4 linked regions of the Pelodiscus sinensis genome follow. The protein of the gene in region 2 binds, or shares a complex with, the protein of the main gene of each other region. Links are inferred from orthologs where the notes say so. Each region holds a gene or a part of one and is shown on either strand. Other genes may lie near its edges. The genes, in order: LSM7, SART1, LSM6 and LSM4.

What was found.
Region 1: SART1 (region 2) and LSM7 share a complex: the UniProt entries of both Homo sapiens proteins name them as parts of the U4/U6-U5 tri-snRNP complex. The link is inferred for Pelodiscus sinensis from reciprocal best matches to the Homo sapiens genes SART1 and LSM7.
Region 3: SART1 (region 2) and LSM6 share a complex: the UniProt entries of both Homo sapiens proteins name them as parts of the U4/U6-U5 tri-snRNP complex. The link is inferred for Pelodiscus sinensis from reciprocal best matches to the Homo sapiens genes SART1 and LSM6.
Region 4: SART1 (region 2) and LSM4 share a complex: the UniProt entries of both Homo sapiens proteins name them as parts of the U4/U6-U5 tri-snRNP complex. The link is inferred for Pelodiscus sinensis from reciprocal best matches to the Homo sapiens genes SART1 and LSM4.

What each region holds. Positions count from the first base shown.
Region 1 is NC_134729.1:26,010,761-26,018,170, reverse strand, and holds the start of LSM7 (U6 snRNA-associated Sm-like protein LSm7), read left to right. Parts: upstream 1-4,403; 5' UTR 4,404-4,492; coding exon 4,493-4,498; intron 4,499-5,133; coding exon 5,134-5,224; intron 5,225-7,410. Other genes in the region: SPPL2B (signal peptide peptidase-like 2B), read right to left, coding at 4,245-4,304. UniProt on the Homo sapiens protein: Plays a role in pre-mRNA splicing as component of the U4/U6-U5 tri-snRNP complex that is involved in spliceosome assembly, and as component of the precatalytic spliceosome (spliceosome B complex).
Region 2 is NC_134721.1:33,049,089-33,056,708, reverse strand, and holds the start of SART1 (U4/U6.U5 tri-snRNP-associated protein 1), read left to right. Parts: upstream 1-4,619; 5' UTR 4,620-4,681; coding exon 4,682-5,003; intron 5,004-7,603; coding exon 7,604-7,620. UniProt on the Homo sapiens protein: Plays a role in mRNA splicing as a component of the U4/U6-U5 tri-snRNP, one of the building blocks of the spliceosome. May also bind to DNA.
Region 3 is NC_134715.1:51,640,595-51,648,297, forward strand, and holds the start of LSM6 (U6 snRNA-associated Sm-like protein LSm6), read left to right. Parts: upstream 1-4,687; 5' UTR 4,688-4,820; intron 4,821-5,053; exon of another isoform or gene 5,054-5,438; intron 5,439-7,703. UniProt on the Homo sapiens protein: Plays a role in pre-mRNA splicing as component of the U4/U6-U5 tri-snRNP complex that is involved in spliceosome assembly, and as component of the precatalytic spliceosome (spliceosome B complex).
Region 4 is NC_134729.1:20,046,362-20,053,456, forward strand, and holds the start of LSM4 (U6 snRNA-associated Sm-like protein LSm4), read left to right. Parts: upstream 1-4,095; 5' UTR 4,096-4,275; coding exon 4,276-4,278; intron 4,279-5,755; coding exon 5,756-5,797; intron 5,798-7,095. UniProt on the Homo sapiens protein: Plays a role in pre-mRNA splicing as component of the U4/U6-U5 tri-snRNP complex that is involved in spliceosome assembly, and as component of the precatalytic spliceosome (spliceosome B complex).

The sequences.
Region 1 (7,410 bases), on a different chromosome or scaffold from region 2:
TAGATTGAAACCTCCAACAGGTTTCTGTATGTTCCCTCTACATATATCTGATTTGTGTCCATTGATTCTTTCCCATAGGGACTATCCAGTTTGTCCAATATATATAGCAGTGGGGCACTGCTGGCATTTAATGGCATAGATCAAATTACTGGATGTGCAGTTAAATGAGCCTGTGATTTGGTAGCTTATGTTGTTGGCTCCAGTGATGAATTGCTTGTATAGATACGTGGGCAGAGTTGGCACCACGGCTGATTGCAGGGCTGGGTTCCTGGATAATTATGATGTGGTTGTGTAGCATAGTGACCGGAAAGAATTCGTTTCAGGTTGGGGGGTGGTCTATAAGCAAGAATAGGCTTTTCCTCAGTTAGCAGTGCATCAGAGGGAAAGTGTTAGGAGGACTGGGTGCTTGTTTGGAACTGAAGTTGCAACCACCAGGAATTTCTTGAGTGTGAGTTTGAAGGATTGTTCCTGCCAGAATCCATGTTAGAATTGCAGGTTATTCTGTTAAGTTCAATAGCATGCACGTGGATTCTGTTTAGGGATGTAAGCATAAGCGTATTGTATAGTCAAGTAGTGACTTGATTAGTTACTCCCCCACACCGCTGCCTCTATCAGAGGCAGCAAGGATGGGGAGCAGGAGCCGGGGGGAAGTCGGCTTAATAGCTGGTTTTCCCCAGCACCATCTCTGCAGGGAGCAGGGGAGGCAGAGGCACAGCGTGGGACCAGGGACAAGTCTGGTGGGTCTTAATACATTTAAAAGACAGAGCCAACAACAGGGTTAGTTCTGCAGTTTCCCCCCTTATCGACTAGTAGATTCAATGCAATTTAACATCCCTAGTTCTGTTATTTTTAAATGTTCTCTCTAGAATGCTTTTCACCTTAGGACTAAAGTAGGCTTGCACGGGTAGCGTGGTGGAGGGTAACATTTGTTGCAATTACACTTGTCCTTGAGCACACCTGTCTGTCCTAGAAAATACACAGGGAAGACAAGAAACTAAGCAGCCTGGAAATATTCCAGTCACAAAGGAGAGAGAAACAAGGATCTCTACCGAGAAAGGCAACAGCTGGGGAGCTGGATGCTTGAGAATGGGTACTTGCTGGACCACTGAGGGGAAATACAGGCCAGAAGCCAGTCAATAGGATTGCACTGGGGGCGAAAGCAGTTCCTAAATCCTTCCCCCTCCGGGCTCAGGTTTTAAAGTAAAATCACCCCACAGCCGTATTTCTGAGCAACATGCGGGTGAGGTGAGGCAAAAGAAAAAGATGGGTGGTGGTGGTTGGGGACTCCCTCCTAAGAGGGACTGAGTCATCCATCTGCCATCCTCTCTCACAGAACTGGAAGGGATCTTGAGAGGTCATTGAGTCCAATCCCCTACCCTCATGGCAGGACCAAGTACCATCCCTGACAGATTTGTCCCAGATCCCTAAATGTCCCCCTCAAGGATTAAACTCACAACCACGGGTTTAGCAGGCCAAGGCTCAAAACACTCAGCTATTCCTCCCCCCACTATAGAAAGGATGTGGACGCACTGGAGAAGGTCTAGCAGAGAGTGACCAAAATGATTAGGGGGCTAGAGTGCACGACCTATGAGGAGAGACTGAGGGATTTGGGTTTGTTTGGGCTGCAGAAGAGAAGAGTGAGAGGAGATTTGATAGCAGACTTCAACTTCCTGAATGGAGGTTCCAAAGCGGATGGAGAGATGCTGTTCTCAGTAGTGACAGATGGCAGAACAAGGAGCAATGGTCTCAAGTTACAGTGGGAGAGGTCTAGGTTGGATATTAGGGAAGACTATTTCACTAGGAGGGCTGTGAAGCACTGGAATGGGTTATCTAGGGAGGTGGTGGAATCTCTATCCCTAGAGGTTTTTAAGTCTCAACTTGACAAATCCCTGGCTGGGTTGATTTAGTCCTGCTTTGGGCAGGGGGTTGGACTCGATGACCTCTGAGGTCTCTTCCAGCTCTATGATTCTATAAGCGGGAAGCCTGCCTCAGGCTCCCCGCAGCACCTGCAGGCTCTATTTTGCCCAGACTTGTCTGAGTACAAGACAAGAGACAACAAATGGTTACAGACAGGTGGTAGGTGAATACAAGAAAACAGAGAAAATAAAATAAGAACATAAGACCAGCCATACTGGGTCAGACCAAAGATCCATCTAGCCTGGTATCCTGTCTGCAGACAGTGGCCAATGCCAGATGCTCCAGGAGTAAACACAACAGGTGATCATCACACGATCCCTCTCCTGTCATCCATTTCCAGATAGAGGCTAGGGACACCTTTCCTACTCATCTTGGCTCATAGCCATTGATGGACCTAACCTCCATGAACTTACTGAGCTCTTGTTTGAACCCCATTAAAGTCCTAATCTTCACAAAATCCTCTGGCAAGGAGTTCCACAGGTTGATTGTGCACTGAGTAAAGAAAAACTTCCTTTTGTTGTTTTAAACCTGCTACCTATTAATTTCATTTGGTGACCCCTAGTTCTTCTATAATAGGAACAATTAAATAACTTTTCCTTATTTACTTTTTCCACACCAGGCATGATTTCATAGACCTCTATAATAACCCCCTTTAGTCTCCTCTTTCCTAAGCTGAAAAGTCCAAGTCTCTTTAATCTCTCTTCATATGGGACCCATTCCAAACCCCTAATCTTTTTTTCCCCCTTTTCTGAACCTCTTCCAATGCCAGGATATCTTTTTTGAGATGAGGTGACCACATCCATATGCAGTATTCAAGATGTGGGCATACCGTGGATTTATATAAGGGCAATAACATATTCTCTGTCTTATTCTCTATCCCTTTTTTAATGATTCCTAACATCCTGTTTGCTTTTTTGACTGCTACTGCACATTGCGTGGATGTTTCTAGAGAACTATCTACAATGACTCCAAGATCTTTCTCTTGAGTAGCTGTAGCTAAATTAGTCCCCAACATATTATACGTATATTTGGGATTATTTTTTCCAATGTGCATTACTTTACATTCATCAACATTAAATTTCATGTGCCATTTTGTTGCCCAGACACTTAGTTTGGTGAGATCTTTTTGAAGCTCTTCACAGTCTGCTTTGGTCTTAATTAACTTGCAGATGATACTAAATTGCTCAAGATTTCCCACCTCACTGTTAATCCTTTTCTCCAGATCATGTATAAATAAGTTGAATAGGATTGGTCCCAGGACACACCCCTAGGGGACACCACTAGTTACCTAAGCAGTGGTCTCAACACATCAGCAACATAACCATTGGCAAGTTTATTTTTTGTAGGCACCACAGCAAAGGAGTATTTTTAAGGGGGTTTTGTAGGAGAATAATAAGTTTGTTGTGCAGATTTTTTGGGGAAAGTCCTTCCGAACATGAGGGGTAACATGAGAGAAAGCAAGCTGGTGCCTGTTAGAAAATTTAACAAAGACTGAGAATTTCAGGACACATGATAACATCAAGAAAAAATGTCCACTTGGCGCTTATGCACGATTAAGTATTCTGATCCACACCCCCTTTTCTGCAGAGTATACTGGTAAAGACTCCTATGAATGGGAAGAGAAAGCTGTTTTCAGGAACTATGAGGAAGTCACAGTTTTGTCAATGCTAAATGGTATGTCCTATACTACAAATCGAAACGGACATATCAAGTCAGCTTACAGTGATGGTGCACGTCCATACCACCCTCCTTGAGCCAGTGGCATATGCCCTAATCAGGAGTGCTTCCACCAGCCTAGGAGGGGCAGTGTGGGGAGCTGGGAGCCCAGTCTCTCAGCCCCACTGACAGCTCCCTGCCAAGGCTGTTGGGCTCCCAGCAGTGGCTCTGCCTCCCAGCTGAGAGAAGGGCCCAAAGCGGCCCCAGCTTCCGATCCGGGCTCCCAGCCACGAGCCCCCCAGGGAAGCCGGGGCCTTTCTTGTCCGTTTGCAACGAAAGCAGCAAGACCGCCCCAAACCCTGCGTCTGGGCCAACACCAGCCCCACGCCGGCGGGCGGAGGAGTCTTCACTTCGGCCTAGCGGGGCATGTGCGGACTGGGGGAGCACTAGGGCGCGGGCGCAGCGGTGGAGTCCAGCCCCGGGAAATGCCAGCGCAGGCGGCCGGCTGCCGGGCACGTCGCTTCCCTCGGGCTGCAGCGACTAGCGGGGCCGCGCTCTCCCCAGCACGGCCCGGGCCCGCACCTCCAAGGCCGCGCTCGCTCGCCGAGCGGGGCCCGGGGCCGGGCACGTCGGAGCGGGCGGGGCGGGGCCCAGGCCCGCGGGGGACTCACCTGGCTGACCAGCAGCAACAGCAGCCCGGGCCGGACCCGGCTCGCCAGCGCCGCCACCATCCCGCCGCCGCCCCTATTGTCCCGGAGCAGGGCCCGTTACCCAGCAACCCGGCCCCTCCGCCCGGAAGTCCCGCCTCTGCGAGGGGGCGCAGCGGCCAATCAGAGGGCAGGGCCGTGACCCCCCCCCCCCTCCTCCGGAAGTGGCGGGGTGAAAGCGCAAAAGGGCGGGGGAGCTTGGCACGCGCAAGATGGCGGTGAGTTTCGGGCCTGGCGGTCAGCGCCGGGGCCCTGGCGCGAGCCTTTGGCTCAGGACCGGAAGCGGGGAGGGGGAGCGGGAACGGGCCCCCCCCCCCGGACCGAGCGTGCGGGGGGGGCTCCGCTTGGAGACGGGTTTTACTGGGCCAGGCCCCCCCCGGCTGTTGTGCGGTTCGCGGGGGGGCTTCTCTCGCACCCCGGGTTGGGGGGGGGGGGCTTTTGGCGTCCTGCCTTGACTCCCGAGCGTTCCTGTGCGCCCCCCCCCCCCGTGCCTCTGCCAGGCCTGGGTGCTCCCTCGCCCCCTCTGTTCCCCTGGGGGCCGCCTGCACCCCCTCCCCGCCCCGCCCCTCCAGCCACCTTTGATTTGACGGGCCTGGCTAATGAAGCTGCATCCTGCGAGGCCTTTGGGCCATCTAGATCCAAACAAAGGTCGTTTATGGGGATGCTCAGCTTCTCTGGCTAATCCGTCATTTGAAGGCACCTCTAGGCGATGCTGACTCCCACGCTTGTAATTAAGCAGGGCATTCTGGCACTGTCTGTCTAACGCTTAATCATGTATTATTAATTATTAAACATGGAACCAAGAGAGGATTCCAATTTACTTTTTAGTTATGTCACTCTGCCTTTTCTTTAGGATAAAGAGAAGAAAAAGAAAGAGAGCATCTTGGATCTCTCAAAGTATATTGACAAAACGATTCGAGTAAAATTCCAAGGTGGTAGGGAAGGTAGGTTTTAAATTAAATGATGCGGGTTTGCAAATCATAATTCATTGGCAACATAATGAATCCCACAGCTGTAATCCTAACTGCTTTTTGTCTCCTAAATTCCTCCCATGTACTCCAGTAACACCAATGCATCCTGTGATCTCCCTGCTGGTCACTCTTATTACTTCCCTCCCCCCTCCTCCCCTATTCTTCTACTTAACCCCTGACTCTCTTCTGGTTCTCTTGCCTCACCAAGCAAATATCAGTTTCTTCCATCTTAAAAATATCACTCTTGTCTCCACTTGCTTCTCCAGTGACTGCTCTGTTTCTCTTCTGTCCCTCTCTAAGCTCATTGAATGCCTGTCTGCAATTGCTGCCTGAAGTTCCTCTCCAGTTCAATCCAAGACTCTCCAGTCAGGCTTCCACCCCTTCCACTCAGTCCAAATTGCTCTCTCCAAAATCTCTAATGGATTTTTCCTAGCCAAAGCTCACATCTGGTACTCTGTCCTCTTGCTCCTTAACTTTACCCACTACCTTGGGCACAGTTGACCATGTTTGTTTGGGTTTTTTTTAAGTCCTTGTGCTCTTCTGGTTCTCCTTCCACCTCTCTAATTGCTCCTTCGTGTCCATTGGGTGATCTTCATTCCTACCCCCCAGTAGGGGAGGGAGGATTTCTAAAGGGCTGTCTTTTTGGTCCCTTTCTTGTCTCCCAAAACAGTTTATCTCTGAATTGTCTCATTTGCAAACACAAATTCAGCTACTTTCTCTATGATGACTCTGAGATCTACCTCTCTACTTTCAGAGTGGTAGCCATGTTAGTCTGGATCTGCAAAAGCGACAAGGAGTCCTGTAGCACCTTATAGACTAACAGATGTATTGGGGCAAAGCTTTTGTGGGCAAAGACCCACTTCATCAGATGCATGTAGTGGAAATATCCAGAGGCAGGTATAAATATGCAGGCCAGAATCAGGCTAGAGATAATGAGGATAATCTCTGATCCAGAGATGTCATTATTCCCCTTTATTCGGCTTTGGTGAGGCCACATCTGGAGTACTGTGTCCAGTTCTGGGCCCCCCACTACAAAAAGGATGCGGACGCATTGGAGAGGGTCCAGCGGAGGGCAACCAAAATGATTAGGGGTCTGGAGCATATGACCTACGAGGAGAGGCTGAGGGACTTGGGTCTGTTTAGTCTGCAGAAGCGAAGAGTGAGGGGGGACTTGATAGCAGCCTTCAACTTCCTGAAGGGAGGTTCCAAAGAGGATGGAGAGAGGCTGTTCTCAGTAGTGACAGATGGCAAAACAAGGTGCAATGGTCTCAAGTTGTGGTGGGAGAGGTCCAGATTGGATATTAGGAAAAACTATTTTACTAGGAGGGTAGTGAAGCATTGGAATGGGTTACCTAGGGAAGTAGTGGAGTCTCCATCCCTAGAGGTGTTTAAGTCTCGGCTTGACAAAGCCCTGGCCGGGTTGATTTAGATGGGATTGGTCCTGCCTAGAGCGGAGGGCTGGACTTGACGACCTTCTGAGGTCTCTTCCAGTTCTATGATTCTATGATAAGGGGATGGTTGGATGAAATAACATGATCTTGGTAACTAATTGACCATTCATTATAGGGAACTTTCTGGGTGTCTGGCTGGTGAGTCTTACCCACATGCTCAGGGTTTAGCTGATTGCCATATTTGGGGTCAGGAAGGAATTTTCCTCCAGGGTAGATTGGCAGAGGCCCTGGAGGTTTTTCGCCTTCCTCTGTAGCATTGGGCACAGATCACAGCTGAAGGACTCTCTGCATGTTGGGGCCTTCAAAGTATTTGAAGGCTTCAATATCTGAGACATAGGTGAGAGGATTATTCTAAGAGGGGTGGGCGAGATTCTGTGGCCTGCACTGTGCAGGGGGTCAGACTAGATGATCATAATGGTCCCTTCTGACCTTAAAGTCTATGAGTCTATGAGATTAATTCAATCTAGCTATATACATCGGCCATACTGGACAGTCCCTACATAAAAGAATAAATGGACACAAATCAGATATTAGGAATGGCAGTATACAAAAACCTGTAGGAGAACACTTCAGTCTCCCTGGACACACAATAGTAGATCTAAAGGTAGCCATCCTGCAGCAAAAAACCTTCAAGATCAGCCTTCAAAGAGAAACTGCTGAGCTACAGTTCATCTGCAAGTTTGACACCATCAGCTCAGGATTAAATAA
Region 2 (7,620 bases):
GGCTGGGAACATGCAAATCAAGCGCGGGATATTTAAATCCCGGGCTTGATTTGCAACTTCGGTGTGCTTCATTTGCCTCCCTACTTCGAAGTAGGGGGCAAGTGCAGACATACCCTTTGTGTATAGATCTATTTATAAAGAAGAGAAGGGGTATGTCATTCAAATTATTCCCCACCTCTGTTGTGGTGTGAAGAAGAAATTATATAACTAACCCCCCAAGTACAATAGCATGTTCCCCTGTTACGAAGGCAGGACCTCAACAATAAGTTTGGCACAATATGAACTTATTACCAAAATGTCACTTTAGTATTAGTATTAGTATTAGTATTAGTATTAGTATTATTAAAGTGTCTAAAACACTGACTTTTCAACCTGTGATATGTGGGTCCCTGGGGTCCTCAGAGTGTGTCTAAGATTGCCAAAAGGGTCTGTGGCTGCATTTGAAAATGTTTAGAAGTCCACAAATGAAAAAAGGTTGAAAACCTCTACTCTAAAAAAATGACACTTAATTATGGTATTTCCTATAACAGAATTAATTCAGAATAAAACTGAGCATGATCTGGGTGTGGTGGCAGCAATATAAAGGGGTTTCTGAATGTCCCTTCTTGTCCACAATGTTATCAATCCCTGTGTACAGCTTCACTGATGTACTGGAGTCATTGAAGTTATTGAATTGGGAATAAGTGAATTTGGGATGATATTTCCTTTTAATAAACTTTCTCTCTGAAAATGACTGTCTGGTAAATATACACCAATCCAAGTTTACCATCATCTCAAAGGGCAAGATCATCTATCTGAGAAAAATCTCCTTTAGGAAAAATTTTCAGAATGGTATCAGTGTCACAGTCTCTCCCGCCACCATACTTTATGAAAATTTGCTTATGAGAATACATAACTCAAAGATAGGGTTGCCAGGTGTCCAGTTTTGAACCAGACAGTCCAGTATTTCACTTTCTGTCCGGGAAACAAATTGAGAAAATATTGGACATATAAATGTCTGGTATTTTCTAATTATGTTCTTATTATTATCATGAGTATCAGTACGTAGTTGCATACTGCCTAGCTGGTAGACATACTCATGCAGAACGCAACTATGCAGTAGAGAGGAGGGGGGCAGGGGTGGGATGGAATCCCCAGGGCCAGACTTGCCCGTGTGACCCGCCGAGACTGTGCGCAGGATGGGCAGCACCCTGGGATCTGCGTGTGCCTGGGCCAGCCCCACTCCCCGGCAGCCGGTTCCCAATCCTCCCATTCCCCCCTTCCCGGCCACCCCCGCTCCCCTCTCAGACGGTCCCTCCCCCCGATCTGAGATCAAGTATGTCTGGTATTTTTTTTAAACCATCTGGTAACCCTACTCAAAGATGTTTTATGCAAAATAAATAATGTGACATGTAATTTTAAAGTTTGTAATCCGCTGAAATTGTATATCCTATTTTTGGGTTTGTATCATTCTTGTATGTGGATCTGTTAATTCTAAATGTGTTAAAAAGGATCATTACTGATGCTCTGGAAACGTAATGACTCAGCTCTCAAACTAACGATCTGTGAATAGCCTTGTTTGTCCTGTGAGTCCAAACTATGGTTGATCCTAGACAGATATGTGGCCAGGACACTTGAGGCTGAAACCCATTTTGGATCTGGTACTTTTCCACTTAAGGTGAGAAAAGTTTGAATTGAGCACAAAGAATTCCTGCCTTGGGCAAAAGGAATATGGGCCAGGGCAAAGAATAGGGCAGTTGCCAGATGCCAGGAGACTCAGCAATTACCTAAGATGCCCGCTGGAAATATCTAGGACTGAACAGGGGGAAAGGATTGGGCCCATAATAGCAGGCTGCTTAGCTTGTGAAAGAAATGTTTAGATCAATTGTTTTAGGGTAAGAATTCACATGCAACACATTTCTTAGTATATCAGAATTAGCTGGGTTTTTTTTTATTTTAACTTTGTAACTAACTTTGATCTGTTTTCACTTGCAACCATTTAAATCTTACTATTTGTACTTAATTAAAAACATCTACGTTTATTACCAAGCCCAGTGTAAATAACTGTTACCTGGGGGATTGCAACTATATTCATATCTCTCTTTCATTGATAAAGTGGGCGGGCATCTTTACAAGTTTTCTCTGTGTAAAACTTTTACACAGGGGAAGACGAATTTGTTTGGGGTTTTGGTTCCTTTTGGGGGTTGGTTTTCTTGGTGCTAAGCCCTTATAACTGACTCTTCCCAGAGCTAAATTAGTTCAGTGTCAGTTTTGCTCTGCAGGGTGGGGCAGGAACCCCAATTCTGTGCCTTTTTTGGGGGAAACCAGAGCTTCTGGTCAAGCAAGACAGGGTGGTGAAGAGCCCCAGAAGGCAGGAAAGTGGGCATTATTGACATGATCAGCACACTAGGGGACAACCTCAAAGGGACGTCTGTAATCTAACCCATCACAATCAGATCTTGGTTTACTGGAGATATACACAATCCTTTTAATTTATTCCCAAGTCCAGAAATAATATTTTAGTTCAAGAATTTCTAACTATAAATCTGGAAGATAATTATCAACATCGGTGCACAAAACAGTGACAGGATTAGTAAAGAGATCCATAGTAGAGTTATCAATCCTAAAATTTTCTCAAACAGTGAAGAGTCACAGTGTAGCAAAAGGCAAATCCTTCTCTTGTACATATGTTAAGATGAAACACAATATTGATGAGGAAATCCAAGTCACTTATCTAGTCTTTGTCTTCAGTAAGTTTGTCATTGTCATTGTCATTGAGTTTATCCCTCTTTTCCAAAAAAGTTAGCACTGGCTTTCCATATCTCAGATTTTTTTGTGATCCTTTCCCTTTGACAGCCAATGAACATTCCAGTGGAGCACTAGCTCTTCCTGCAAAGCAATCCAGTGGGATATTTTGTGTTCATGGCTACATAGATTTATGCCAAATGCCACTCAAAATCAAACTTTTTTCATAGGGCTATAGTGTCACACAGTAACCCTATAGATTTAGACTCTTTTCCTTCTATAAACAAGAACGGGTTTTCCCAAGCCATGTTAAATTCTTTCCTTGCAACAGCATTGTCATAGATTTGTTTGGATGTGCTGGGCTTACTAAACAATACAGTTAAGTAGCTAGCTGTACAGAGTTCAAAGGCCTCACAGAACTATTATAAATCATGAGATGGATGAGATGGTTGGGCCTGGACTAAGGATGTTAAATATCAAGTAATTTACTAGTTGAGTAGTGGATGGAATTTTCATTGAATACTCCACTAGTTGATAGGCACTTCCACATTCCTCCTTTGAAATGTACAAGAGCCCCTGCTGGGGTACTCTGTGTGCAGCCTGGGGACAGCAGGAAGTCCCGCTGACTCTGGGCTGCACAAGGATATCAGCTTTAAAAATGCGCAAAAGTCCCCAGTGGAGGCTTTTGTGCATTTCAAAGCAGAAGCACCTGCATGGAGCCTAAGGTCAGCGGCAGACTCAGCGGTACGCCTAGAGGGCAGAGTTTTTCTGGGATACCAGAGGTATCCCAGAAAAGCTCTGCTGCATCCAAGCAATGCATCTGCTTTTAAAAAAAAATTTCAGAAAAGCAGATGCATTTTTTGGCATCCCTGTAAACCTGGTTCTGTGAGGAAGAAGGGATGTTCCAAAAGAGGCTTTTTTCCTGACATTTGGCCTGCTGTAGACGGGCCAATTTTCAGAAAAGCCTCTTTCTGAAGAAAAGTGGGAAGAAAAGTGCAATTTGAATATCTTTTGCTGTTAGAACTTGGTAGTGTAGACGCAGCTTCAGAGTCCACCACTGACCTCAGACTCCATGCTGCGCCACCTCTTTGAAATGCCATGCAGAGGCATGCCCCTCTGGCTGACCCCGAGCTTCATGCAAATGCCACCATGGTGCTTCAAAGGGGCAGTACTGCATGGAGCCCCGGGGCAGCTGTGTGCGACACTGCTTTAAAACGATGTGGCGTTTCAAAGGTGCAGTGCCGCACAGGTGAGCTTGGGATCAGCTGTGCAGTGCTGCCCCTTTGACAGAGCAGCACCGCACAGAGCCCATGTATGAGCCCTGTGCAGCATTGTCACTTTGAAGTGTCCACCCCTTTCTTCCTCCCCCCCTTTGCTGCCTCTGTCAAGGGGAGGGGGAGGGAATTAACTAGTCGACTGGACTATCTGATAGGCATTTGCTTATCAGAGAGTCAACTAGTCCTTAACATCCTTAGCCTGGACTCCATGGGAGCTAAAGGCCTTTATTTATTGGGGTTTTAAAAATTCTTTGACACTGGGATGCCTGCCACACCCTGCAATGTCTGCCAAGGGCAGCTAGAGCCACAGAGCGTCCGCCCCGCGTGATGTAACGAGGTAGAGAAATATGTGTCCTCCCCCTCCACTGGTAACTGCACATCCCAGTTGCCTGGGGGCAAAGACGAACTAGGGGACAACTTCAGCCAAACAGGAAACACACCCTCTTGACACGGAGGTAATAGCCTTGTAAACAGGAAGTGACGTACAAGTATACGGGCATTAGACAGGTCTGAACAGGAAGTAGCAACAAACGAGAAGTGACGTACATATAAACAGGAAGTAACCCATAAATTATCCGGAATTCGTGCGCAATGAGCCTGGACGAGCATGTAATGACCCGGAAGCACTGTAGCGCCGATCCCGGAAGTTTCGTGTTGCGTCGGTGCCATTTTGCGTCTCCATGGGCTCCTCGAAGAAGCACCGGGAGCGGGGAGAGACCGGGGGCTCTGAGGAGCAGCAGCCGCCGCCACCGCCGCCGCCCCCTGCTGCCTCCTCTTCCTCCTCCCGGCACCGGGAGCACAAGAAGCACAAGCACCGCAGCGGCGCGTCGGGCGAGCGGCGCGGGAAGCGCAGCCGGAGCCGCGGGGAGCGGAGCAGCCGGCGGAGCGGGGGAGAGGAGGCGGCCCGTGGCAGCCATGGCCGGGCCGGGGACAGGGGTGCCCAGGAAGCCGAGGGTCCCCGGCGGATCAAGCGGGAGAAGCGCGACGAGGGATACGAGGCGGGTCAGCGTCCGGGCAGGGGAATGGGGAGGCTATGGGACGAGCAGCCCGAGAGATTGAGACGCTTTTGAGGGGAGGACACCGGGATTCTGGGAAAGGGCCCAAAGGGAAGAAGTGTGGGGTAGAGGAGGAGGCAGCCATTGAGGGGCTATTGATGGCCGAGAGAGGATGGGCTGTCAGTGAGTGTCCGAGAGAGAGGAATTTGCGTGGGGGTGCTCTCGGGTTCAGCAGGCGATTATGGGAGTTAAAGATTGGCGTGTGACTATGGGGCTTGAAGAAGCGTTATGGTCAAGGCTCTGCGGCCCAGGGAGGGGATTGGTGTGGTAATGAGCTCAGGAATGAGTAGAGTAGTAGGCTTGGCGAGAGGTGCTCTGGGATGGCAAGTGTCTGGAGGTGTGAAGGTGGCTATGAGAGTTTGGATTGGCTGTGAGGTTTTATGGCGGGGACTGGCTGCTGGGGAGATGTTATGGAGGTCACGTTTTGGGAATGGGATAGGTGGGGGATCAGTGCATGTGCACCCTATGTCGTGACACTGAGGCATGAGCTTTAGGAGGGCAGGGGGCATGACTTCGTTGGGGGGTATTGATGAGGCATTCTAATCTGTGATGGTTTAGTGTTGGGCATGTGAAGTTTCATGAGATGGAGGAGGAGGAGTCATCAGGGGCTGTCCTGGTGGAGGTGGGGCATGAGGTTTAGGGAAAATGTAGACTTGCTGACTTAAGGGGTGGTGAGGTGAGTTTGCAGAAGGAAGAGGAGTGAAAGAGTAAAGCAAGGAGTGTGAACATGCACATACGTGTAACTTTTCATAAATGGGTTATGAAAGGATTTTGGAGCAGATGAAGTCAGGACACGTCAAGGCTGTGTCTACACTGGGCCGCTTATTCCGGAAAATCAGCCGCTTTTCCGGAATAAGCTGCGAGCTGTCTACACTGGCCCTTGAATTTCCAGAAAAGCAACGACGCTCTACTGTAAAAAATCAGCTGCTATTCCGGAAAAACTATTCTGTTCCCGCACGGGCATAAGTCCTTATTCCGGAACACTGTTCCAGAAAAGGGCCAGTGTAGACAGCCCAGTAGTCTTTTCCAGAAAAAAGCCCCGATCGCGAAAATGGCGATTGGGGCTCTTTTCCGGAAAAGCGCGTCTACATTGGCCACAGACGCTTTTCTGGAAAAAGGGCTTTTCTGGAAAAGCAGCCTGCCAATGTAGACGCTCCTTTTCTGGAAAAACTGAAAACGGAATAGTATTCCGTTTTAAGCAGTTCTGGAAATTCATGCCAGTGTAGACACAGCCCTAATGTAAAGGGGCTTCTTTGGTTGGTTATGGAGCATCTATGTATAAAGTGCCCTGAAAAGGTGTCTTAATCCATAACTCTAAGCAATAACTGTAATGACCTATGATTTGGATAGACCTTTTTTCTGGCAGTATCGGTTTAGTACATCCTGTTTTACGGTACCATATTCTGTTGTCATGGTATCTAGCCACTGACCTTTGATGCTCCAGAATAGTGCAAGCTATTCAACAGAATAACAGCTTGGTTCCCTCTGTGGGGATCTTTATTCCAGGTAATGGGCAGTACTATAGGAGACATGCTGAATTTTCAGGTTACTGTAAAGTGTGTCTGTCTTCACAGCATTGTTCATTATAAAAAGTGTATATGTCTGAGCTGGGTGGGGTCTTTGGTAAATGCTATGCAGGAGGTCACACTAGTTGATCAGAGTGGACTAGGGATGTCAACGTATAGTCAACTATATGATTAACCGATAAGCCTAGACTTATTGGTTAATCCTGTCAACTGCACACATTTTCCCCTCCCCCTTGCTGCCTCTGTATCTAAGGAGCTGATACAGAGCGGGAGCTGATAGAGGCAGCAGTGAGGTGGGGTGGGCTAGAGCTGATGTGCATAGGGAGCCAGCTTTCCAGCCAGCTCCCTGCACCTATCGGCTCTATGTACTTGCCTCCTACAGAGGTAGGGGGAAGTAGGGCAGGCAGGAGCCAGTGCTGGGAGGAGCCAGCAAGTCCCCCCCCCCCCCCCGCCCCGCTTATCAGAGGCAGCAGCGCAGGGGGTGGGGCAGGGGAGGCTTCCTCAAAGCAGCCTCTGTTTCTGGCAGGCTGAGCTCCCGGTGAACAGAGGCTGTTCCACATCCCATGGAGCAGCCTCTGTCTGTGGTGAGCCTGGACCTGCCACGGGCAAAGGTTGCTTTGCGGAAGCAGCCCGTCTGCAGGGGATCCATCCCACAGAGCAGCTTCTGTCTGTGAGGAGCTTGGACTCCCCATGGGCAGGGATGCTGCTGCCCCACACTGCTGCCTCTGCATTAGGGCAGCAGGCAGCTGGTTCACAAGAGGAGCTGGTACAGAAGCAAGACCTTGGGATGGCAGAGGCCTCCCTGGGAGTGGGTCTGGGAGTGCACTGGCTGCTGGCCCCAACCCTGGGGACTGTTGAATAGTCATGTAATCACTAACATTTCATGCCGTTACGTGACTATTTAATTGCAGGATAGCTAACATCCCTAGAGTGAACCCTTCTGGCTTTAACAAAATCCTTGTTTGAATACATTTTACTTTTATCTTGTTTACAAACATCTCTCTGATTTATCTCTAAACAGCTGCTAGCTCAAAGGCC
Region 3 (7,703 bases), on a different chromosome or scaffold from region 2:
GGGATGGTCAGGAGAAGAAAGGAGAAGGCACCAAGGGACAGAGTGGAGGAGAGAGACAAATGCCAGGGGGCCAAGGGGAGACAATGAGGAAAAGGGCAGGAGGGGAAGTGTTAGTGAGAGGAGGGACAGGATGATGCTAGGAGAGGAGAGGGGAAGGGCTTTGGGGGGCTACAGGGGAGAAGGGGAGGTGCCGGGAGAAGGCTTGAAAGAAGGGGTGGGCATGAGGAAGGCAGGGATGGAGCAAGGCATGTGTGAGGGCACAGGGGAATGAGGGAATTGGGGGCAGAGGGTGGTGAGAGGGTGGGCATCAGGGAAAAAGGGGGCAGGGGCAGAGAGGGAAGGGGGAGGCACAGAGGGGTACAGGGGTAAGGGAAAGTGCAGGTGCCAGGGGATGCTGGGGGTGAAGCAGAAAGGCAGACACCTGCAGGGGAGGGACCAGCACCAGAGGAGAGAGGTAGGGCAGGTGTGTAGTGGGAGGTGTTAGGAGAGGGGATGAGGAGGGGTAGCTCACATGATCAGCGTGGGGCTACTGGAGGAGTGGGCACAGGGGGGAGAGAAGGGCTGGTAGAGGGGGGTAGGTCTCAGGAAGGCTGAGGTCAGTGAGAAGGGCAGGAGTCAGAACAGCAGAAGTGGGTGAGGGGTTGGGGGGGGGGCAGCAGGCACCAGGGGAGCTGATGGAGCAAGGGGAGGAGATATGGCAGGAGAGGAAAGGACAGAGGTTTATAAGATACTTATTAATAACTTGGGTGCCTCAGTGGTACATCCAAACAAGCCACAAACTCAGTACTGGTGCACAATTTATTGTGCTCATGGGAGGAAACTCTTAGAGGGGACACTTTCCCCAGCCTCTCCACCCCCCAAGTTAATGTCACACACATTGGGTTAAAGGAATTGCAGTCTAGTTGCATGGAGGGTGGGGTGGGGTGGGGTGGGGTGGTGAGGGCCAAACTAATCCCTATTGGTAAGAGGATGGTGGGAAAAGTCCTTGTGGGGGAGGGAGGTCACACAACACCTTTTATTTCTGGTCATGTGTCCAAATTGCCCCAAAAGTATTACCCCCAGAGGCGTGGCTAATGGGGGTCAGGGGATGTGGCTAATGGGTGCCCGGCATGAGTGGCCCCGCCCCTGGGTGCCTGGCAGCCCCAAAAGGTTGGGGGATCCCTGATCTACATGGTGCTTCGTCCTGCCAACCTGCTCTTAAATATCTCCAGTGATGAAGATTTCACAACATCTCTAAGCAATGTATTCCAAGTGCTTAACCACCCTGACAGCTAGCAAGTTTTTCCTAATGTCCAACCTAAACCTTGCTGTCATTTAAGTTTCTTGTCCTATCATCAGATGTTTTAGGGGAATATTTTTTCTCCCTCCTCCTTGTAACACATTTAGGTACTTGAAAGCTGTTACAGTGTCTTGTCTTTTCTGAACTAAACAAACCAAATTATTTCAGACTTCCCTCATAGGTCATGTTTTGTGGACCTTTAATGGTTTTATTGCTCTTCCCTGGACCTTCTCCAATTTATACATGTCTTTCCCGAAAGATGGTGCCCAAAACCAGACACAATATTCCAGTTGAGGCCTAATCAGTGCAGAGTAGAGTAGAAGAATTACTTCTTGTGTCTTGCTCACAACACTCCTGTTAATGCATCCCAGAATTATGTTTGCTTTTTATGCAACAAAGTTACACTTTTGACTCATAATTAGCTTGTGGTCCACTATCACCCCTAGATTCTATTCTGCAAGAATTTATGGATGGTCCCTCCAAGAGAAGCTTGAGGAACATTTGGAGACTTGATATGAGGAAACTTGCATGCGGCTGTACACATTATATGAAGAGAGGAAACAAATTACCATTGTTGTCAATCAAAAATGTTTCCTAGGCATAGCAATCACTTACAAAATACTGAAAATAAACACAAGTGGAATTGTTATATGCTAGTAAAGTTCATATTATGCACTGTCAAATGTGTCATGCAAATAGAGGGTTAGTTTTCAGTACCAGCTATAAACAAGTGTGTGCAATAAGTGAGAGCAGTGGTTTTTAAACTATGGATTAAGATCCTATACTGGGTCACACAATGTCAGGCACTGAGTCACCATGCTGTGGTGGGTAACCCAGTGATTAGTGTTCCTGCCTGACCTGGCATTGTGGATCATCAAGCAGCCAGCAGCAGGTGTGTCTCCTAGCAGGAATGGGGAGAGGCTTCATGCACTCCCCCACCCTGAGCACTGGTTCCACACTCCCACTGGTCATTTTCAGAGTTGCTTGTGTGCCTCTGCCTAGGAACCAGACCTGTTGATGGTGGCTTCCGGGGCAATGCGTGGTCTGCAGTGCCAGGAGAGGCAGGAAGCTTGCCTTAGCATCTCCACTGTGCCGCTGTCTAGGAGCTGCTGGAGGTAAGCCCATGCCTCACCATGAGCATCAACCCCCTGTCCCAACTCTGAGGCTTCCCTGAACCAGGAGCCCCCCTCATGCATCCCAGATCCCTCATTCCGGCCCTGCCCCCCCCTCCCCCCACTCCCAGAGCGCACATTCTAGTCAAAAGATATAATTATGTTGGATCACAAACATCAAAAATTTTCTTCAACTGGGTCATGAGAAAAAAAAGTTTGAAAACCACTGAGTTAGAGCATGGCTGAATGGCATTCATACCATGTAATATGCCACTACTCCTTCTTCATAGACTTGACTGGTTCTTAGAGAGAAACAAGACCAAAGAGTCGGTGTATTTGAAAGTTTGGACTATTAACCCTTTAAATGATATTATTGTTGGAAAAGAGAAGGCCAAGGAGAACTTTTCAGGTAGCTCTAAAATAGGGTTACCATATATCTGGTTTTTCCTGGACATGTCCTCCTTTTTGGTCCTTAAATCTCCATCTGGCCGTGTTTTTTAAATATCTAAAAATGTCCGGGATTTTGCCTTGCTCATTCTTTTTCAAACACCTCCTGCCCTGAGTGTTGCCATTGAGCTGGGAGCCCAGAGCCCCGCAGAGGAACCCGCCTTGGGGAGTGAGGGGGAAGCAGGAACCCCCCCTGGAGTTCCCTTCCACAGGACTTCTCCCCTGCCATGGACCCCGCTTCCCTGAGCCCCGTGCTCCCCATCTGACCTGGCCCCTCTGCATGACCCTCCCCGAGTGATCCTGGCTTCGCCCCTGACACACCCAACTCCTCATTAGTCACCGCAGCCACCATGAGCAGACATCCCAAACCCTTACTCATAATCTGACCCTCCCAACTACTGACACCTCACTTTTCCTGACTGCCCTCAGGCCCGACCCCTCCCTACACGTGACTGATCCCTTCTGACATCCCCTCAACTCACCTGTCCCGATTCCTGCATTCTTCCAGTCCACTTCTCTTTGAATCTACCCCCAAAAGCCCCTTTCCAAACATTGCTCTTCAAGTCCACCTCAGACTGGCCCAGCTAGTCCCCCATGCCTTCCTTCAGCCTGATTCCATTCAGCATTTCCTCTAATCCAGACTTCCTTCCTCTCTCCTTAAATACCAAATAATCCTTAAACCCATGTTCTCCCAAATTTGACTGTATCTGTTCCAAAACCCGGATCCGGGCTTTAACAGCCCTAACAACCTATGTACCAAGTCACTTAACTGGCCCTCCTTCCGAAAATCAGTAACAACCCCCTCTCCTTGTAGAATCTGATGTAGTGATTATTTTCCTGGGTGACTGAAGAAAGTTTTGCTGCTATTGCTTCCTCATTTTACTTTTTTTGCCTGAAGATTCTTCTGTATGGCATTTAGAATGAAAGGATGTTTTGGATGTTTGTTTCCACCTTATGGATACTGCATAAACAAAGGGGAAATGCCCTAGAGCAGCGGTTCCCAAACTTTTCCAGATGGGGACCCATTTTGATAATTCAGGAAGACGTGGTGACCCAAGGCAATTCAAAAACGAAGGGATGAAGGGAGGCAGAGCCACCTGGGGAGACACTTGGCGACCCGTTTGAAATGTAATGGTGACCCATATTTGGGTCGCAACCAGTAGATTGGGGAACCCTGCCCTAGAGGAACTGAGTTCCACCTAATTGAGGAAAACCATTATTTGCCAGATTGCTAATTTCCTTGGACTGCTAAAAAGGAACACGAGACTAACACAAAGTTTACATCCAAATTCAGAGAGGATTGAAAGGGGCTGAAAAAGAAGCCTTCCACAAAAATCTAAACTTGGAATTTCCATTGTTTTCCTTTTGACCTGGGAAGGATCGCTTCATAGTCCCTGCCTTGCAAGTCATAAACTAAGTTTTGTGGAATTCATAACTAGAGAATTAAAGTAGTAGAATGACCTCTTGTGTGGATCCCAAGATTAAACAGGCGGGGGGGGGGGGGGGGAGGAGGGACATCAGAAAGGACTCGTGAGGTAATGGATTTGGAATTTGCTTTTCACTTTTTTCTTTTCTATACTCACTGTTACACGTTGTATTAATATAGGGACTTGGTAGATACTGATGCACTGTCCCTCAGGAGTGTCCTCTTTTTGGAAAGTTCAACTATGGTAACCCTACTCTACAATTAAGTGTATTGCAACAAAACATATAGGACACACAAGCAGCCAGAATGTCAGAACACCAGACCTGTGCTAGGAGGGACTGATCATGTGGCCCTGTCACTAGGATCCAGGAGACAAAGGCGATGCAGGAGAGGAGGACACGGGGGTCACGTGCCCCCAGCCGATGTCTGCCCGCTCGAGGCAGGCTTAGTGCGGGTGACCTCCCTGCCCTCGGGCCAGGGCGAATGGAGGAGTCGCGGTTCTGACGGCGGCCGGCCTGTGGCTCCAAGGCCCCGCGCTCAGCCGGAGCCACGGCGGGTTAGTGCTGCGCAGGCAGCTGTGCGGAGCCGCGGACCCCCCATTTGCTGGGGCAAGAGGCCCAGGCAGCGGGCAAACCAGCGGGGCTGCCCCGGGACCCCGCCCCTGGCAGGCGGCGCCGTCTGCGGCCTCCCGCAGCCTGCAGGGGCGGGGCCACAGAGAGGGGGCGGGGCCCTGCCCCCTCCCCGCTGCCGCTGCTCCTCCCCGCTAGGAGGCGCCCAGGGCAGGGGGGGGGGGCGCAGAGGAGCCCTAGTCTCGCAGCGCCTGAGCCTACGTCACGTGCCCCCTGCGCATCTCACCGCAGCCCAGGCGCCAGCACCGAGCACGTGGGACACCCCGGGCTGGGTTCCCGCTAGGACGCGGGCGGGGCGCTGCCGCAGGGACTTGGCAGGGGAGGCCGACGGGTAAAACACCCGCCAGCCCCGAGGAGGCACCGTTCCCCAGCCCCTGGCCAAGCGCGCGCTCCGTCTGCTGGGTGTTTTGGCTCAGCCGGCTGACCGTAGCGGAGCCGGAAGTCCGGGAGCGGGCGTTGATTGGCTGGGAGCGCTGCCCGTCCCGCGCTCGGGACCTGGCCGATTGAGGGGCCGCCAGCGGACAGGGCGCGGGTGAGCGAACGAGGTGGGCGCGCCGGAGCTCGGGCCAGCCAGGGGCCCTGTGTCCGCTCGGGCGTCACGCGCAGCCGGGGAGCGGCTCTCCTGTCCCGGGGGGGGGGTTGCCGGCTGCCGCGAGGCGAGTGCGGCTCCGCCCCGGGCCCTGCCCCAGGGTGGCCGCGCAGCCGCGGGGGTTGGGAGTCAGGTCTCCGCGAGGGGGGTGGGAGGCTGCGAGCCCGGGAGCGGAGCCGGCGCTGATTGGGCAGCGGCCCCGCGTCCGAAGCGCGGCGCTGCCGAGGTGCCGCTGTGTCTGGTGGCGGCGTTTGGCTTGGCACAGCCCCGCTGCCGCCCCCCCCCCCCCCCGAGCAGGGCGGGCAGTGGAGCCGGGACTCGCCCCTCGGCTGAAGGCCCCGCGGAGGCGGCTCTGTGGGCATCTGGTTCTTAGCTGTCGCGGTGCCAGCCTGCGGCCGGGATGTTTGCACATGGGCTTTGGCTGGGGTTTGTCTACACGCTGCGCCTACAGTCAGTGTAACTCCTGCTAGAAGTGACAATGCGGGAAGTCCCATTAAAATCTGCAGCGCCATTGCTGATCGGGAATATCCTCAACCGGAGACGAAAACCTAACCCAGTACCTGTGACTGTTAATCTGATGCAGTGGTTCTCATGAACCCTCCCTCCTGGCCGGACACTGCACTCATCCTTGTTCCTGCACCCTCCAGATGACCCTGTCTCCAGCCTGCACCTGCACCCTACCTCTCACTGAGCCCCTCATCTCCTCCTGCATCCCCATCCCTCTCCTTCGCAGCTCCTTCCCACACAGTGGACCTGTCATTTTTGGCCCCATCCCAGGGCCTAGGAGGACTCACAAAATCTACTAACGCTAGAATAGTTATTCTGGAGAGTGGGGAGCTCTGAACCTTGGTCCTCCCTGCCTTCCCCCCTCCGCCCCCCGGGGGCTGGAGCACCTGGGAAGTGAGGTGTCTTAGTTGGGGGCCACATCAATAAGGATTGGGGGCCACTTATGCTATAGCTCCAATAGCCTAATATGAATAATTTAGTATTTAAAGTATTTAGAAATAAACATAGGCATTTTGTCATCATGAGTGGTTGGCTGGTGGTATACAAAAAGATTTTCATTGAGCGGGGTAGGCTATGAGCCAAAAAGTTTGAAGACCACTGATCTAATGCAAAATTGTTTCCTAGGCAATATTCTCAGAAACATTTAAAATCTCTTAATCTGTGGGTTCTTTGCTGCTTCCTTTGTGATACTTTAGATAACACTGTATAATAGCAACAAGCTTAGTTTGATCTTTATCTTATTTATATATCACAAAAGGTTTGTTTGATGCTGACCAATACACACATCTAAAGATTGTTCCTAAGCCAAATCACTTTCCATTTTCCTTATTTCATCCTGTAGTTACTAGTTATATCTCTTAGAACAACCATAAGCAAAAACTTCCTTCTGCTTTTTACACTCAAGACTTCTTGTAGAGTGTTATATTCCTCAATCATAATTTAGCCAAACTATATACTTAATTCAGAGGGGTAGCCATGTTAATCTGTAACAGTAAAAACAACGAGCAGTCCTGTGGCATTTTAGGTCGTGAGCTTTCATGATGAAGTGGGTTTTACCCACAAAAACTCATGACCTAATAAATTTGTTAGTCTCTAAGGTACCATAAGACGGCTTTGTTGTTTTTAATAGTTAATTCAGTGTCTCTGGCCTTTCACTCACTTTGCTGCTCTTGTCTAAGTTGTCTCTGATTTATCAACATTTTTCCAGTTTTGAGGTGTCTGGAAGTGGATGTGGTAGTTTATGCAGGGTCTTACCAGTAGAGCTATGATTTTGTCACGTATGTTTTTAATATTTTTTTGCGGCAGAGGTACAAGGAAAAAATTTACGGAAAGAAGAGACTGGGAGACTATAGATGGGTGGTCTGTGGAAAGCAAGCCTACTTTACACTGACCATGCAGGGGTGCTTCATTTCATGTGGTTCTGGGCCTGGCTTCCTGCTCCAGGAATTGTGATCTGTACATGGTGTTACATTACCACTCAGATTTTGTGCATCCTTACTCCTCTATAGAAGTGTGGCTGGGCCAAACTTGAGTGGTGGTGAAATGCAGTGCAAGGGATCGCAACATCTGAAGCTGGGAACTGAGCTCGTGGTCACCTCTGCATTTCTTTTGGAATTTTGGATTTCCAGTTAACTCTCCCATTGGGTTTACAATGCTCTGCCCCCCATTACTAGGAGAATATTAATTAATATTTTATGGAAAGTTACAGAAAATA
Region 4 (7,095 bases), on a different chromosome or scaffold from region 2:
GGGTTGAAGTGCTGAGCTGAGTACCAAAAATGGAGTTCACCACATGGCCTCTTTATACATCCTTCCTGGTCTCTTCTTGGCTGCAGCAGGTCACCTGGCCAGTGGCCCATCCCTGTGTTCCCTGCTGGCAGCCCTTCGGTGTCAGCCCTCATTCTTTAGGTGTGTCCTTGGCCCATTGAGTGCCATTGTCCCACAGGGCCTCGCTAATTAGCATGTCCATAGGCCGGGCTCTGCCCAATGCTCAACCACATGCAGAGAAATATTCAGTATCCACACAGATTACAGATTCCTAACAACACACAGACATTATACAATCACATGACTAGCGTACATAGGATTAGCAGACAGTAAGCTTCTATTCAACACCCCACATGGGCCCCTTTTATACCATTTTTGGGGCCAACATCCCCACCTATGGGTGCAGCAGTGATCTGGCTGCTTCCCTCAAATTCAGTAACGTGACATAGGGGAAACTTACACCTGGTCTGGTTTGCTAAATCTCTTTGAAAGGAAGAAAGTAGTTCTCTTCCCTTATAGGCTGGTGGGAAGGAAGGGAACATCTGTGTCAGTGAGTCAGAACCCATTTAATCATTTAACTACAGGCTCAACACCTGAAAACCAGGTGGGAGATGTGTTTTGGGTGAACCATCCTGTTGGCTTCTGGGAAGTGGGTGGGCACAAACTTGCCATGGCTAAAGGACTCTCCTCTAGCCTAACAGGGAGGATACAGTGAGCCTGGGACTCAGTTAAATATGGGGGACAACAAAATTAAAAACAAGGTCAGTCATGGAGGGTCAAAGGTAGGGAACCTGGAGATACCAAGCAGAGAACCCTGGCCAGCACCACTTCCCTTTTAACCTATTAAGGGAGTCAGCAGCTGCCATCCGGAAGAATTCTGCCTGGAAACGTGTGCAGAGAGTGGATTGGAAATGAGCCGCACTATAGCAAAGAATCCCTTCAGCTAACATCCTCTTTCTGGTGTTCTAGATGGCCACTTTGACTATCACCAGGAGGTGGTTGATAAGGAGGTTCCACCATTTTGTAGAGTGATGCAGAGGGGGTGCATATGTGAGAAGGTTGGGGTAGAAATACAGCCAAAAATGCAAAAGTATTGCATAAGCAGGAAAAGGGGGTGCAGCCTGGCATGCTCAAGGTAGGTATGTGCCAGGGTCTCTCTCACTACATGGGGGATGGATAAACTATAGCTAGTTATAGAAGCCTAGCCATGAGTATAATAAAATAAACCGCAATTGAGATGTGGTTTAGTGCAATAATGGCATTTCATGATGACTAGTTTTGCCAGCAAAGTCTAGTTCTTGCCAAAGTCCTCTGTAATCTTTCTTGGTTGCTACAGTGAAAGTTTCATGATGGAGCAGTGGTAAACGTAATGTAACTTTGGCTAACCATGGAATGTCCCCTAGCCCCCTGATCAGTTTGCTTCAATGTTGGGTGTATTCCACAAGACTTTGATTCATAATATTTTTAAATAACAAGAACATTTGCCTTTTTATAAATGTTGCAGGTACTGAGCATTCTTAACTCCCATTAACTCAGCATTTTGCTTTATTAGGCTTTTAATATGCAACAGGAAAATCCACTTGTTTTCTTAATCAGATATTTGGCGTTTATCCATGAGTATTTATTAAGCTATAGTATAAACCTTTACAATTCCTTACTTGAAAGGAGACTTCCACTATACTGTTGTTAATTCTGAAGATGGACAATGTATCAGTTTCCATTTTACAAGTTTCCCAGATCACCTGCCCAACAAATACATATTTAAGGTGATGTAGTCTGTAGAAGTTTTTCAATTGTGACTCTTAGTTGGACATCATATTTTCCCAATTAAGTCTGTTTTGGTGAAGAGAAGAGGCCGTTAAATACTGAAGAATAATACAATAAGAAAAATAATATTTACTATATTTCATCCTTCATTTGACAGCATCTGTATTTTAATATATAGTCTTATAATTTCACACCTATTTAAGATGGTTAGACATTATAACATAACAGGTTGGTCTTGGGAACCACTGAGAGTGTCAAATCAGGGTGAATTGCTCAGAACCAGAAGTCTTCCCTATAAGGCACCAAACCAGTCACACAGATCACTTCAGCTGCCACTCTAGCCAGCAAGAAGTCTCACAAGCAACCCTGACATTCCAGCTTTACCTGTGCACCAGCCACCGCTACTTTATGCAGGTGAGAGATTAAACCCGATTTCATCAACTCCAAATAGGTTCTCCCAGTCCCAAAGAACCATCCACAATCCCAGGTCAATTTATACCTCAGATCTTACCCAAAAGAACACACTAGGTTTTCTTTAGAAAGTAAAATCTAAAGGTTTATTCATAAAAGAAAGGAAAGGTTGAGAGTAGGATTGTTAAAGCAAATACATTACATACATCAATCACCAAGTTCTTGATGCAGGCTCTTAGCAGAGATGTAACAAGCTGTCAGCTTAAAAGTCTCTGGAGAACATCCTATGTTATGATGGGTTCATGAATCCTTCCAAGCCCTCTGTCCTTGGCAAAAGTGCTCCTGGAGCAGAGAGCAGGAGTGAAGACAAGACGGAGGCACTCTCAAGATACTTTTATAACCTTGCCCATGAAGAGGGAACATCCATTGTTCTCCTGGCTGCTGGTTCTTCACAAGAAGTCTTCTGTTCCAACACTTTACTATAAATTTCCTTGCGCAAGAACGCGCATGCAGTGTAGACGCTCCACAAGTCTTTGCACAAGAACAGCCGTTCTTGAGCAAGAAGCCTGCAGTGTAGACGTAGCCAGGATGTATATGTATCTCTCAAAGAATTAAAGGGATGCTGTGCCTAGTTTTCACTGGTCCCTTTGCCATGGTTTTGGGGTAGAATTATTGACTTATTCATTAACCTAATCTAATGGTTTAAAACAAAAGAGAAACAGCCACTGGGGGGCATTGTTACTCTCCAATAGTTTCTGGATTTCTAGATTGTGAACCTGCTACTAAAATGCAGTGCTGTACGCATGGCTAATGTTCAAGGGAATGCGAGGAGAGGCAAGAGGAAGGCTGGACACTAGGAAGTTTAGGCCTCTGTTCTGCAATGAGCTCTGTGTAAGTGGGCTTGTACACCTGCTCAGAGCCCAGTTGCTAGCAGTGTTGTACTGCAAATGCGAGCATAGACTATATCTAGACTACTGAGTTTTTCCAGTGTACCAGAGGAACGTGTCTGCTTTTGGCGGAAGAGCAGACATGCTTTTGCGGAAGCCTGGTCTTCCTCATGCCACGAGGAAGAAGGGCTTTTCTGAAAGAGGAGGTTTTTCCGAAATTTGGCCCAGTGAAGACGGGCCAAATATCAGAAAAGCCTCTTCCGACAAATTTATTGGGAAAAGGGAGGCAAATTGCGGAGTACAATTTGTGCACCTTTTCCCAATAAAAAGCAGCAGTCTAGACATAACTATAGGCAGGACTGGAAGGACGAAAAGAAAAGAAGCACGAGATCAGAGGGAGAGAGGATTGACGTTTCTCATGGCTGCCAGAGATGGTTCATCACCATCACAGAGGAGCTACGGTTGACTGTCACAATTTTAACTGCTGTGTTGTTTCCAGCCGGGTTGCCAGGTGTCCGCTTTTGAACCGGACAGTCCAGTATTTGAGCGTTCAGTTTGGGAACCCAATTGAGACACTAGAAATGAGGAAATAGAAGTGTCCGGTATTTCCTAAATGAGATGCCATGTAGATTGGGATGGAATGTCAAGCGTGTCCCGTATTGTTTGACTTTCCATCTCCAAGCAGGGCTGGGCAATGAGGGGCTTAGACAAGGGGGGCAGCCAGGGATCTGTGCACAGCATGGGGCGAGCAGCAGGCCAATGGGCGCTGGCCTGAGCCTGACCAGTTTACTGGGGGGGACAGGGGGGTCTCAGAACAGCCAGGGAAGGGGGGGCTGCAAGAGGAGCTGTGCAGGGCACGTAGAGTCCAACAGAGGGCCATGGATAACAATGGGAGGGGGGCTCCTGGGAGCGCTGCAGGGGGATTGTGGGTAATGCAGCCTCCTAGGGGGCGCTGCGGGGCATTGTGTGGAACGCAGGCTCCAGGGCGGGGAGGATTGTGGGTAACGGGGGACGCCGCGCGCCGTTCTCTCTGTCGCGCCCGCCGGCCGCGTTTTACGGCACTGCCGTAAAACGGCGGCTGTCGCTTGGCGGCGGTGGCGGAAGGCGGGAGCCCGGCCCGGAGCAGCTCGGCAGGGGCGGTGCGCGTGGCGGGGCCCGCGGGGCCGCAGGCGGACGGGAGCCGAGCGGGAAGATGGTGAGTCGGTGGGGCGCGGGCCTTTCCATGCTACCGTAATGCACCTAAGAGCACGTGCGGCGCCCAGCCCGCGGATCCCGCTGCGGGCACTACCGTAATACGCCGAATAGCGCGCGCCGCCCCTCGCCTCGCTCCCTGACACGTGCGGAGCCGAGCACTGGGCAGCGCAGCGTGGGGGGGGGGGGGGGCGCCTTGCAGGTGGGGGCTGCTCCAGCTTTGCAGGTGGGGGCTGCCGGTGGTGTGGGGGGGCCTCCTCCCGCCCTGCCGTGGGGCGGGGAGCCGCTCCCTCCCCTTAATGCAATGGTTCCCAAACTTCGGCATCACGCCCCCTTTTTGATTTTTGAGAAACGCTCATGCCCCCATTCCCCCTCCCCCCCCAAATAGCAGCAAAACTTGTTGAGCAAAAAAAAAAAAAAAGTAAGAGGAACTGACCGGGGGGGGGGGCAAAAAAAACAAAAATAGCAGCACAACTTGGGGGAGGGGGGATTTCTTCACGCCCCCTGGTTTGGGATCCTATGCCTTAATGGGTGAACTGGCTGAATAATTACATTGCATTTCCCCTCCCTAGTTCCTGCTGGGTTTTGTCAGCGCTCAGTCTAATCTGAATGGCAGCAGCTCCTGGGCTGTATTCCCTGGGGAAGTGGCTCCGAAATGCAGTTGCCCTGTGTTTGGTAAATCTGTGGCTGAAATAATGCTTGTCTGCAAATAAGATACAGGACTATGTAGCACTTTAAAGACTAACAAGATGGTTTATTAGATGATGAGCTTTCGTGGGCCAGACCCACTTCCTCAGATCAAATAGTGGAAGAAAATAGTCACAACCCTATATACCAAAGGATACAATTTAAAAAAAATGAACACACATGAAAAGGACAAGTCACATTACAGAACAGAAGGAGGATGGGGGGGGGGGGGGGGGAAGGAAGGTGAATGCCAGTGAGTTAATGATATTAGAGGTGGGGAAAGGAAGATGTCTGTGAGTTAATAGTATTAGAGGTGATAATTGGGGAAGCTATATTTGTAATGTGTAAGATAGTTGGAGTCTTCATTACAAAGATAGCTTCCCCAATTATCACCTCTAATACTATTAACTCACAGACATCTTCCTTTCCCCACCTCTAATATCATTAACTCACTGGCATTCACCTTCCTTCCCCCCCCACATCCCTCTTCTGTTCTGTAATGTGACTTGTCCTTTTCATGTGTGTTCATTTTTTTTAAAATTGTATCCTTTGGTATATATGGTTGTGACTATTTTCTTCCACTATTTGATCTGAGGAAGTGGGTCTGGCCCACGAAAGCTCATCATCTAATAAACCATCTTGTTAGTCTTTAAAGTGCTACATAGGCCTGTATTTTGTTTCAGCTACACCAGACTAACACGGCTACATTTCTATCACTGTCTGCAAATAGGCTGCCTTTATCCTTTGTTCTGCTGACTTTTCTCAGGCTTATCCTTTATTTACTTTCACTCTAGCTTCCCTTGTCACTGTTGAAGACTGCCCAGAACCATCCGATGGTGAGTAACAAGGATATTTCCTGCCAGTACTGCTTGCAATCAGCGTCAGACACTTTGGGTTGTTGGGGTAGCTGCAGTCTCTTAAAAAACCACAAGGAATCCCGAGACACCTTAGGGACTAACAGATGTATCAGGGCATACGCTTTCATGGGTAAAATCCACTTCTTCAGATGAATTGAGTGGAAGTTACAGAATCATAGAACTGGAAGAGACCTCAGAAGGTCATCAAGTCTAGCCCCCGGCTCTAGGCAGGACCAATTCCAACTAAATCAACCTGGCCAGGGCTTTGTCAAGCCGAGACTTAAACACCTCTAGGGATGGAGACTCCACTACTTCCCTAGGGAACCCATTCCAGTGCTTCACCACCCTCCTAGTGAAATAGTTTTTCCAAATATCCAACCTGGACCTCTCCCACCACAGCTTCAGACCATTGCTCCTTGTTCTGTCATCTGTCACTACTGAGAACAGCCTCTCTCCATCCTCTTTGGAACCTCCCTTCAGGAAGTTGAAGGCTGCTATCAAATCCCCCCTCACTCTTTGCTTCTGCAGACTAAACAGACCCAAGTCCCTCAGCCTCTCCTCATAAGTCATATGCTCCAGCCCCCTTATCATTTTGGTTGCCCTCCGCTGGACCCTCTCTAATGCGTCCACATCATTTTGTAGTGGGGGGCCCAGAACTGGACACAATACTCCAGCTGCGGCCTCACCAAAGCCGAATAAAGGGGAATGATGACATCTCTGGATCTGCTGGCAATGCTCCTCCTAATGCAACCTAATATGCCATTAGCCTCCTTGGCTACAAGGGCACACGGTTGACTCATATCTAGCTTCTCAGCCACTGTAACCCCCAGGTCCTTTTCTGCAGAACTACTACTTAACCGGTTGGTCCCCAGCTTGTAACTATGCTTGGGATTCTTCCGTCCCAAGTGCAGGACTCTACACTTGTCCTTGTTGAACCTCATCAGATTTCTTGTGGCCCAATCCTCCAATTTGTCTAAGTCATTCTGTACCCTATCTCTGCCCTTAAGCGTATCTACCTCTCCCCCCAGCTTAGTGTCATCTGCAAACTTGCTGAGTGCAATCCATCCCCTCATCCAGATCATTAATAAAGATATTGAACAAAACCGGTCCTAGAACCGAACCTTGAAGCAGGGGTGTCTATATAAGGAAGAAGCTGCTTGTGTTAATGAAGCTAATTTAAATCAGGGTGCAAGTGGATCATTCACAGCATTTGGTGTGGAAATGTGACTATCCAGAGAGGGGAAATGGTCTTTGTAATGTGTTAACCGGTTGAGATC